Linked DNA regions of Callithrix jacchus. The protein of the gene in region 2 purifies or fractionates together with the protein of the main gene of each other region. This does not show direct contact. Links are inferred from orthologs where the notes say so. Each region holds a gene or a part of one and is shown on either strand. Other genes may lie near its edges.

Region 1 (2,703 bases), on a different chromosome or scaffold from region 2:
GCCAGGCTGGTTTGGAACTCCTGACCTTAGGTGATTCACCTGCTTCAGCCTCCCAAAGTGCTGGGATTACGAGTGTGAGCCACTGCACCTGGCCCTGTGCCCATAATTTATAGTCTCCCTTAGCCAGAGCTCTGGGGTTGAGGTGAGGGATGGACATGAACTGGAAGAACAGGGCAGGTTAGTGTTAGCATGAAGTTGACAGGCAAGAAAGGGAGTTTAGGCATTGGTTGGGAAAGACCATGGGAGATATATGCAGTGGCCCAGGTGAAGCTGTCTGCCCTAGCTGGAGTGGGCAAATGGTGCCTACCCTTTTCTCTCGTGCTGCATCTCTCCCCTGCAGGCTGGTACAGAAGGCAGAGCTGGTACGGCTTTCCCAGACACTGAGCCTGGTGCCCCGGCTACATTGGCTGCTGGTAGAGGACGCTGAGGGTCCCACCCCACTGGTCTCAGGGCTGCTGGCTGCCTCTGGCCTTCTCTTCACACACCTGGTGGTCCTTACGCCCAAAGCCCAGCGGCTTCGGGAGGGCGAGCCTGGCTGGGTTCGTCCCCGTGGTGTAGAGCAGCGGAACAAGGCCCTGGACTGGCTCCGGGGCAGAGGGGGAGCTGTGGGTGGGGAGAAGGACCCACCACCACCAGGGACCCAGGGAGTTGTGTATTTTGCTGATGATGACAACACCTACAGCCGGGAGCTGTTTGAGGAGGTGAGCATGAGGATGGGGATGGGCAAGAGGCCAGGCGTGGCCAGCTGCATTCATTACCTTGGTTAGCAGTGTTGCCGTTGGCTGCTAGGTGAAAGGCTGGAAGCAGTGGGCAGAGTGAGCCAGGTGGCTCTTTCTGCTGCTCCCTTCCCCAGACCACTCCTCTGTTTCTTCTCTCCCAATCTCCAATAGATGCGCTGGACCCGTGGTGTCTCAGTGTGGCCTGTGGGGCTGGTGGGCGGCCTGCGATTTGAGGGCCCTCAGGTCCAGGATGGCCGGGTTGTGGGCTTCCATACAGCATGGGAGCCCAACAGGCCCTTCCCTGTGGATATGGCTGGATTTGCTGTGGCCCTGCCCTTGCTGTTGGCTAAACCCAATGCCCAGTTTGATTCCACCGCTCCCCGGGGCCACCTGGAGAGCAGTCTTCTGAGCCACCTTGTGGATCCCAAGGACCTGGAGCCACGGGCTGCCAACTGCACTCGGGTAAGGGAATGGAGGTGGGCACAGAAACCTGGCTCTGGGACGGACAGGTTTTGGGGAGGTGCAGTGAGACCCTGGGAATGGGTGGTTTAACCAGGAGGGACTCTCCAGATCTCTGATCAGCCTTGCTGACTCTACTAAAGGGGAAGCTGGGAACCAGGGAGGGAAAGTGGTCTGCTGCTACTCCGTCCCTGAGTCCGGGAACCCATGTGGCACAGAGAGGATGAAGGAATAGGTCCGTTTTAGAGGCACTAAGTCTTCCTCCACACTGCCCTTTATACTTTGAATATGTGGAGAGGGTTAGAGAATCCATTCCAGCCTAAGGGCCCCAGAGGCCTGCCTGCCGCTGGGTCTGGCTCTCATCGCTTCCCTCCTGGCACAGGTACTGGTGTGGCATACACGGACAGAGAAGCCCAAGATGAAGCAGGAGGAGCAGCTGCAGCGGCAGGGCCGGGGCTCAGACCCAGCAGTTGAGGTGTGATGGCCCCACCCCAACTCCCACCTCTTTTCAGGCACAGACCTTGTGGGACTGGGCCCCGGGCCTGCCCAGGTTGTGGCTTTCCAAGTCCTGACCCTTCAGAGCCAGAAGTGGCCCCTCTGCCCCTCCAGGCCCACGGCATGGCCCTGCTGCTTTGCCCCTCCCCCGGCCTGCCGTGTGGCACTGCCCACAGGCTGGGGACAAGCAGCCCTTGTATTGAGCCAGGTCAGCCCTGTCTAGGGTGGGGTAGAAGGACAGACGGACTCAAGAGGGAGGGCAACTGAGTAACTGGGTAACTTATTGGGGCTGGGCATGCACTAGGGGGCTGGAGGAGCTGGGCTGGACTCTCCCCACCTGAGCATGCTGATCCCTTCCTACCTCCAGAATAAAGAATCTCAACCTGGAGGGCCTCTTGTTTTCCTTTCCTTCTTACATTGGGTTGTCGCTTTCTGATCCTGCTCTGCAGAGGTCAAGCCAGGGTCCAAACTTTGGAGTCCTGGCTGCTCCATCAGACAGAAATCAGTTCTCCCAGGCCCCCATCCCCCTGAAAGAAAAAGCAGTTGCTTCCATCCAAAAACTTTATTGAGTTTGTACCAGAATCCATCTCCAGGCCTTCCCATGTCACTTTCCCATCACTCTGTTCTTGGTGGTGGTTCCCTGGTGGTTCTGGCTACAAGGGCTAGGCCTTAGGATATCTGGTTTTCTTTCTTACCCTAGTCCAGCTCACTGACTATCCTTAACCCTTCTAATCCCGGGATTTCCCTCCCCAACCTGGAGCCTTGGTAAAGAGTTGTGAGGTTTCCAAACTTGTCCATCCCTCCCTTTTCCCCACCCCAAGCTCCAGGCCCCTAGGCCTCAGAAAGATCCTCCTTGAGAGGTGCCTCTCCTGGTGGGGCCTCCTCAGGTGCTGGCCTGTGGGCAATCCATCCCTGTAGCCATGCTGTTTTCAGCATCTCTTTCAGCCCACTAGGAAATAGATAGCCCTGGGTCTCTCCTTCCCCATCAATGACCCCTCCAAGCCCCTCCAGTGCTGTTTGCAGGTACCGC
Region 2 (4,320 bases):
AAATGGGCAAGGCTGTGTTCCAATAAAGCTTTACTTATAAAAACAGGCAATAGGTTCCTACACTCCAAGAAAAGGCTGAGGCCTTGTGTTAAAAGAATGGCAAAAGAATGTTTATGTGTTCATTAAAATGTTTATGATATGCATGTAACTATTATCTGTATGATTCCTGCTTTAACTTACTACTTCGGTTAACCAACTAAAGGCCCTAAAAGTCTGCTTCCAGTGACTGAGTAAATAGAATGTTATCGATCTGCATTTAATTCATATCCCTACGGTCTATGCATTTAATTCATATCCCTATCACTATACCTGATATAACCTGGTTATATCTTTAAACTATTAATTTTAAAATGCATTCATCAGTACCGATTAGTATGGGTATACTTGTATATAAAGACTGTCATCTCTGTTGCAAAACTGAGGATAATTTGAAAATAATTATTAAATTTGCTGCTTCCCTGAGGGAGGAAGGTGGGTGGAGGGTGGAGAAAAATAATTGCTGCTTCCTGGCCAATCTTCAAGGGGTCAACAATACATTTATGAATATTCTAAAAGTTGTATACTTAAGCAAAACAAATAAACATAAATGCTTAATTTAAACTTGAGATCAAGGTTGTGCCTTACTTACCTTTGTATCTCCAGCTCTTACTCAGTAGAAGTCTGGGTCTAATCCACTCCTTTTACAGTGTTTAGGGAGCCTGGCCCAAACTCAGAGTGAGTTAGAAGGGCTGGGACAGGAATTCAGATTTCCTGATTCCTAGTCCAATATTACCAATCTGAAGATAAACGAATTTAGGAAGACAGTGGCTTTTTTTTTGTTGTTCTTGTTGTTGCACTCACTCAGTCCTGCAGTTCAAAGCCTGGGGAAGTCTCACCATCATCTTCCTCCTCATACTGCCAACAAGAATCAGCAGCTGTGTTTCCACAGTGATAACTGGGGTATGCATGTTTAATGTTCAATCACCAATAAGGCTATTGATTTTAGAGTTTCTGAGTACCCACAAAAGCCACTTTACTTAAACATCCAGGATAAAAACAGTTCCTCCCAAGAATACAAGATAAGAGTTCAAACGTTCCCTTGGGCATTTTTTAAATAAAAACACCATCTAGATGTTTCAGTACTGCAGTCACAGCCAGTATTGGGGAGGGGGGTTAGAAAGTGCCATGGTACTTAATCCAGTTATTCCCTCAACACCTCCAAGAGGTAGCCAAGTTCACACACTAAACAGTGATTGCAACAGCTCTAGTGCTCGTGCTTATTAGAGGCGTTTCAGTTCCAATTTTAGCACTTGGATCCCAGTTGCATTATTGCAACTGTGAACGTTAACTGCTTTAACATCTTAATCTACAAAATAAACATGAGAAGCAGACTAACAGCTCTATCCTCAGTTAAAGAGAGGAATAATTTCCTTATGAAAATTATAGTTACATATAATATTTCTAGCTTTCTTATTCCCCTGTTCCCCCTCCCCTGGAGCTTTAGACAATAGTACAATCATCTTCGATTAACAAAAGAGATTAAACAACCCAGATAGCTCACAGCTAGTACAGCATTTTTATCTTTCTGGGAGCTACCTATGAAAGGCAAGAACTAACGCTAGGCTGGGTCACACGGGAAAAAGAAATCCTAAGATTGTAAATCAAGGAACAAGGGAACAAGGATGAATTTCATTATTCAGCCTAATAAAAATTAATAAGAACCTATTATATAGGCAAGAAGGTTTACAATTCAGTAGTATGCAAACTATAATAAAAAATAGAACAGGGCAAGTGCCAGGAGGTGCAAAGTTCTCTGGGAGGGAGCTACCAATCACTTCGCTTCAATTTCATACTGACAGATTGAAACATTCAGGTAAGGGACACCTGTAGTACCAACCTGACTGTGAGGGGAAGCCCAAGAACTCCACTGAGTCTGTGGAAATGGATGCTACACTGGGACACTATCTCCTTAGCCACACCTTGGCTAAGCCAGGACTATCCCAGGATTGTTTTGAGATACGAGGTTAACCAAAGAAATATTTATGTGAACTACAGACAGGGTGGAAACTGGAGGTAGAGGAGTCCGCCACAATTGATGTTGATTTAGGACTATCGCAGAAAGACCCAGCGAAATCTACGCCAAGGTTGGTCTGGGGATATGTCTGCCTCCAAAGTATCCTCCTTTCCATCACCCACCCCCAGAATATCCTAGATCTTCTGCACCTCACCTGAGTAGAATACAGGTGGACTCTAGAAGGGGAACTTTCCTCGAGGTGCATGTTACAGTCTTTCAGTAGCCATTCTGTAAGGGCACCCAGTGCTTAAGGGCTAGCAAGGTTCTTGTTAACTCACGAGCTCACTATATCCTGAATCAAAGAACGAGAAATCCAATCTCAGTCTGCCCTTTACTCCTTGTGAACTCCGACTAGTCACCCGGGGGCTTAGTTCCTTCGTTTCCCTATCTGTAAATTCTGAGATTACAAGGAGACCGGGATTGACTTCGATGGCCTCTGGGCTCTAAAAGCTTCTAGACCAGCCGGCACATGGAAGCACTCGACAAATGGCCAGTTGCATAGACGGGGAAACTGAGGCACCGAGCACCCCGGACCAAGGTCACTCTAGCTATGCCCCTACAGAGGCCGTGCCGAAGCCCAGGTCTTCAGCCCTCCAGACCCGAGCTCTTTCTCCTTCCGCCGAACTGAGGAGAGCGGCGAGAAGGGTCCTTGTCCCGCTGGGGAAAGGAGGGTACCCATACACAGGGGTGCGACAGAGGGACCGAGAGAAGCCTTACCTTTCCAAGTCGAGTCCAGCCACTAGCACTTGTCTCTGCGAATCTTAACTCGTCACCCCCTCGCGACTCCTCGACTGGCCCCTCCACTTCTGCCCGGCTCGACGTGTCCACGACCGCCGCCGAGGCCGAGGATTCCCTCCCCTTCCCCGCCCCCTTGCCTTACCAACCAATCCCTCCACGGGGCTATGAAGCTCCGCCCCCCTGCGGGCTGAAGAGGCCTGACGTCACGCGGCGCGCGTGCTCGCGCGAGCCTCTCATTTGCCTTTTTGCCCCACCTTCTCCGGAGCCTAGTCGGCTTTCGGCCCAGAGACCGTGCGGAGTTCATCCTGCCGGAAAGCAGCACGCTACCGCGGCATTTTACAACGTCGGCGGTGACAGGCCCTGGGATGCTGGGAACACGCAGCTTCCTCCCTGCTCTTCGGTGAAATCCTACGCAATGTTCGGTTCTGGGGACGAGGACGACACCGATTTCCTCTCGCCCAGCGGCGGGTGAGTGACTGAGAAGTGTGCGCTGGAGGGCGTGGCTGAGAGATACCAGCAGATTGTTGGAGGGGGGTCGATCTCTTCTCAGGCCTTTTCCCAACTTCCGGGTGCAGACCTTTGCCACATTCCGGTGCTCTACACCTCTGAGAATCTGGGCAGAGCTTGCAACTGTGCTGACTCTGCAGATCTGAGGTTCGGGACCCGGCATCTCTCTTGGCGCGAAGATAACCCTGGGGTTTGCCTTTGCTTTCTGGGTCACAATTTCTCTGGTGAGATAGGAATGATTGCTGATGAGACTTCCTGCCTCAGAGTTTTTGTAGTAGTTAGCTGGGACTGACATGAGACTTTCTCTTCTCAGTGGAAAAGGCTATGACACTTTAGAACCAGGCCCTGGTGGGTCAGCTCTAGCATTCTTCAAGGCCCAGCTCGGATGTCACGTTTTCGGTGCTTTTACTTCTGCAGCCTGAGGCAGAATAAATTGCTTTCCCTTCCTTATTCCTACAGCTCGGTGTGTTCGCCTCTATTCTTGCACCCCGAACCTCTTAGATTAAGATTCCTCACAGGACAGGGACTGCTTATGTTGTTCATCTCTGTCTAGCACTCAGCATGGTAACTGGCACATAGTGAGTGCTCAAGAAGTGCCTGTTGAATGAATGATAGCTGCGAAATTGCACTTTGTAAATTTTAAAGCTTAAAACCAACATAACAGACTTCGTCATTCTCCAGTTTTCCAAGCATTGTATTAATACATTCCAGCCCAGGATCGAAATCTTTAAAGAAAGGCAGGGTTTTGTCTCTTTCAGTAGTCAGTTTAGCCTTTTCTGTTGTGTTGTTCCAGTGGACAGCTTGACTTCCTTCAAACTCTTGAGAGACACCAAGCTGTGATCATTGCAAGCTTTGAACATCTGCTTAACAAATTTTGTGCACGCTGAAGAATGTACTGGAAAAACGACAAATACACCACATATGCTCCTTATTCTGCTAAATGCTAAGAGGTTACAAAAATGGTTAAGCTGCTGTGCCTGCCGTTAAGTTGCTTCCCCATTTGTTGGAGAGGTCAATACATG
Region 3 (4,440 bases), on a different chromosome or scaffold from region 2:
AAATCTCCCAAATTACTATTTCTGAAAATCTAAATTACAAGCCTTCAGTCATAGGTAACTTCTGCACATGGAAAGGATTTATTTTGGGAGATGTGACATTATCACATCAAATTGGGAGACTTTTTAAGCCCTATGGATTCAAGGCACCTGGCTGAATTTAACTTGGCAGCAGCCAGATTAGATAAAATACTGTATGTCAGGAATCCTTTGTAATTCATTTATCTTAATACTTCTAAATATTGCAAGGTTGTCTAGACTGTAATTCTTTATTTATTTATTTGAATACCAAGAGATGAAATCTTACTCTTAAGTTTTCAAAAGACCTGAATGGAATTCACTCATAGCATATTTTAAAACAAGAAATTGGAATGAGCCCAGGACGAGGGCTCAGACAGCTAAGTTTTGGTACCAGCAGAGTCAGTAACTATCAGGGCAACTTGAAGAGGCCACTTAACCTCAGGTTCTTCTTTAGCGTATTGTCCCTTCCCCTCCCCGAGCCCAGAGTTCTATTAAAGGTAATATGAACGGATATTTGGAAAGTGCACTAAATCTCACACGGATGTAGGATCCTTTCATGAGTTCCTTCAATGATTGAAATGTCTCTTCCTAATTTCACCAGCCACTTCCTAATTCTCAAAAACTGCACCACTTTCAGTTCTTTATTTCTTGAACTTTCTGTGACAGGTGACAATCATAGACCATGCCTTCTTTTCTTCCTTCATTCTCTATTTCCTGGTTTATTTCCTGTCTTGCGGATTACTCCCTTTCTGGTTTATTTCCTGTCTTGTGGATTACTCCCTTTCACGGTTATTCTTTCTCTGTCAATCTCTCTTAAATAGATAACATTACACAATTAGTGTGGTGAGTTTCAGCAAGAATTTTATCCTGGGTTTTGCTTTTTTTCCCACCTAAGTGCATCTGGACTTTTGATGTCACGTATCCTGGTGATTCTTTTAGAAAATAGGCAAAGGTTAAGCCAATCTATCTTCTAATTAATTTGGTGAGGGCTTTCTTTCACTTGTAGCAATTGATGCTTTTCATCTAATAATTACAATATATTTGGATATTTATCACTGGAACCATCTCTGCTTGTTTTAAACCCTGTGAAAACTACGCCCTGCTTTTCAGGAATGCTTAGAATGACTTGTATGTGCTAGGAAAACTTGTTTACTAAATGAGCACCCAGAGAAGACTCTTCACTTATTCCTTCATTGTTCCTGCTAAGACTGTGTATTCGCTTTTGCATTTCTCGATGGAGTTGTGAACGCGATCTACTGCAGAGTTAAAGGTCAGCTAACAAGATAGGCAAGAGCTAATGGGGCGGGGTGAAGACCCGCGTGCCGGGAGGCTATCTTCACCAGATAAAGAAGACAACTATACTCCATTCCGTCCTCTGCTTTTTTGCACGCAAGCTAAGAGGCGTTCACCATTTCTACGTCAGACTTCGTAGGACAGCTCCCCTGCAATTTTGCTGATACCCCCATTCCTTAGCTTGAAACTGGAGGGGGCGGTGAGGGCTGCTGTCACTCAGCCCCCTGGGCCAATAGGAAAGGGATGAGCCCCGCCTTCTTCCTGGTGCTGTGCTGTGAGCATGCGCATTGGGCGTCCCCACGCCACCGCCCATCAGCTGATAATTGCTACTGAAGTCTCCGGGGTAGGTGGGTGACGGTGGCTAGTGGTGTAGGAGGGAGCTGCTGAGTTCCAGGTAAGAGGACCCTGGGGAGGGGAGCTCCCTGGCCAGGCGACAGGGAGGCGCGGTGCGCCTGCGGTTCCTGCGCCTCCTTGTTTGTGCGTGTGGTCTGGTGGCCGCCGCCCTGCGCTCTGCAGCTGGCACTCGGGAGGCGAGAAAGGGCCGGGCTGCCCGGGCTCCCCGAGCGCCCGCGGCTCCACACGCCCCCCGGCCGGGTGCAGGGACGCGGCGAGTTCCGCATTCCTGGCGCCCGCGGCTGTGGTCAGGTGGGCCCGGCCAGCCCGGCACCAGCCGCGATCCTTGGGCAGCACTCCCGAGGCGTCCGGCGACTGAGCTCACCCCGGGGCGGGCGCCAGGGCCGGCTGGGGCCCAGCTCAGGAATCCAGACACGACCAAGTGACCTCTTCCTCTTTTCAGCTCACGGATTGAAAAACACGCTTTAAATTTCCCGAATATAGAGGAACCGAAAAATGTATGGCTGTAGCAAACAAACAGTGTATGTTTATTGAGTGGCTCATGGTATGTGGTGTTTTATTTGGCTTGATGACTTTAACATACTTCCTTTGACATTGTTAGCATACACCTTTAATTAATTTACATATAAACCTTTAAACATACATAAAATGTTTCAAATATTTCTTCCACCTTGTTTTCTAGGTTCCTTTCTTTAAATTGAGACAAAGAAAAAAAGTTGCATTTCTGATCAAATGCTGTGCGTTTTTTCCCCACAAATTTCTTACATTTCCTTGGCTCTTATCTATATCTAGGTTAATTTTTGTTTACATCAGATCATTGTATTCTGACTATAATTATATATAAAACTTGCTCAGAATCTGGAAAGAAAAGGAAGTAATTATGAAATGCTGTGCTTTTAATAATGTTGGAGGTGGACATTTCTTCTGCAGGTGCACACCTGCACACCTGGGCAGAAGCTGATAACGGTGTTAAATTGTGTCTTGTGATGTGGACAGACCTTGTAGGCCACTTGGAGAAGTTGGCCTCAGACCTGTGACTAGTTAAGAATTATGCTCTTAACTTCACAGTTTCTGCAGAGGTTAATATGATACCATATTAACTCATTAACATCATCATTTTTCCTCAGCTGTGTTACTTATGTTGCTCTTTTTTTTTTTTTTTTTTGAGACAGAGTCTCTCTCAGTCACCAGGTGCCGGGCTGGAGTGCAGTGGCAGGATCTCGGCTCACTGCAACCTCTGCCTCCCGGGTTCAAGCAATTCTCCTGCCTCAGCCTCCCGAGTAGCTGGGACTACAGGCGAGTGCCACCATGCCGGGCTAATTTTTGTATTTTTAGTAGAGACGGGGTTGCCCCGTGTTGGCCAGGATGGTCTCAATCTCTTGACTTCATGATCTGCCGGCCTCTACCTCCCAAAGTACTGTGATTACAGATGTGAGCCACCGTGCCCCACCCTTATATTGCTCTTGATAACAAAGTCATCCCCATTTTGATTTTGACCCCAAACTTTTAAGTGCTGATGGTTGAAAAGTAAGTTATAAAGTCTGGGCTCAGCGGCTCATGCCTGTAATCCCAGCACTTTGGGAGGCTGAGGAGGGCAGATCACTAGGTCAGGACTTCGAAGCCAACATGGTGAAACCCCGTCTCTACTAAATTTACAAAAATTAGCCAGACATGGTGGCCCGCTCCTGTAATTTCTGTTACTTGGGAGGCTGAGGCAGGCAGGAGAATTGCTTTAAGCTGGGAGGCAGAGGTTTCAGTGAGCCAAGATCACACCATTGTACTCCAGCCTGGGCCACGAGTAAGACTCTGTCTCAAAAAAAAAAAAAAAAAAAAAAAGGAAAAAAGAAAAGTAAATTATAGAAAATATCCACAGTAAGTCTGAGTTATGTTTCATGTAATTACATTTAATTTGCAAGCTTCATGTGTGAAAGTGTGAACAAAAAAAATCCTTAGGATTCTGAACTAAAACCAAGTAGTGCAAAAGTTCAGTGGATGGAAGAGCTAAGGCCAAAGAATGCAGTTAATGTAGTTTGTGCAGAGAATACTTATATAGACAGAGCACCCTCACATTGCTTGCGCATTTACTATGCACCAAGCACTGTAGATTACACAGGGTAACAAGGTCATCTCTCTCCTGTTTATATACTAGAAGTAGCTCCTATTTGTATTCCAGAGGTGTAGGGATCAATAATAAACAGTCTACTAATTAGGCTATTGAGTATTGTGAAGCAATAAGTTAAATTGACAAAGAGTGGACAGTGGTGAGTTCTCACTTCAGATCAGAGTGGCCGCAAAGGTTTCTCTAGCATGTGATGAGGCCTTGCTGGGGAGAAGGAGCCAGTCACATGGAGATCATGAGAATAGCTTTCTAGAAATAGGAAATGGTACCCCACAAAGGCCCAAGGCAGCAAGAAGCCTGGGACCTTCAGGATCTGAAAGAAGGCACTGGAATTTTATGTTTTAGAAATGGTAACATTTACCCTCAGGCTGGTGTGTTTTCTTAGGAAGTGGGTACATTCATTCATTCTACAAATATTTACTAAGCACTTATGATGTAGCCAGACATTGAGAATAGTACAGTCTACAAAACAGACAAAACAATGCCTACCTCCCCACCCCTCAAAATTTATTTGGTGTAGAGGATACAGAGAGGTCCAGTTGTTTATGCTGATGCTAATGATTAAGAAAGTGAAATTGACCATTTCTTTTCCCAGGTTCGATTTATAGAGCATGAGATATGTGCAAAATGGAAATCTTAAGGATTCTACAGTATAT

Evidence for each region.
Region 1: the proteins of SLC31A1 (region 2) and B3GAT3 purify together in Homo sapiens (co-immunoprecipitation; 3 studies listed by BioGRID and IntAct, with this or other methods). This does not show direct contact. The link is inferred for Callithrix jacchus from reciprocal best matches to the Homo sapiens genes SLC31A1 and B3GAT3.
Region 3: the proteins of SLC31A1 (region 2) and STX7 purify together in Homo sapiens (affinity purification with mass spectrometry; 3 studies listed by BioGRID and IntAct, counting the BioPlex papers as one, with this or other methods). This does not show direct contact. The link is inferred for Callithrix jacchus from reciprocal best matches to the Homo sapiens genes SLC31A1 and STX7.

What each region holds. Positions count from the first base shown.
Region 1 is NC_133511.1:119,887,058-119,889,760, reverse strand, and holds the end of B3GAT3 (galactosylgalactosylxylosylprotein 3-beta-glucuronosyltransferase 3), read left to right. Parts: intron 1-340; coding exon 341-701; intron 702-890; coding exon 891-1,181; intron 1,182-1,476; coding exon of another isoform or gene 1,477-1,477; intron 1,478-1,560; coding exon 1,561-1,659; 3' UTR 1,660-2,061; downstream 2,062-2,703. Other genes in the region: ROM1 (rod outer segment membrane protein 1), read right to left, coding at 2,505-2,703. UniProt on the Homo sapiens protein: Glycosaminoglycans biosynthesis. Involved in forming the linkage tetrasaccharide present in heparan sulfate and chondroitin sulfate.
Region 2 is NC_133502.1:161,534,526-161,538,845, reverse strand, and holds the start of SLC31A1 (high affinity copper uptake protein 1), read right to left. Parts: upstream 2,916-4,320; 5' UTR 2,771-2,915; intron 895-2,770; exon of another isoform or gene 629-894; intron 1-628. Other genes in the region: FKBP15 (FK506-binding protein 15), read left to right, coding at 3,207-3,259.
Region 3 is NC_133505.1:139,163,703-139,168,142, reverse strand, and holds the start of STX7 (syntaxin-7), read left to right. Parts: upstream 1-1,595; 5' UTR 1,596-1,705; intron 1,706-4,440. UniProt on the Homo sapiens protein: May be involved in protein trafficking from the plasma membrane to the early endosome (EE) as well as in homotypic fusion of endocytic organelles. Mediates the endocytic trafficking from early endosomes to late endosomes and lysosomes.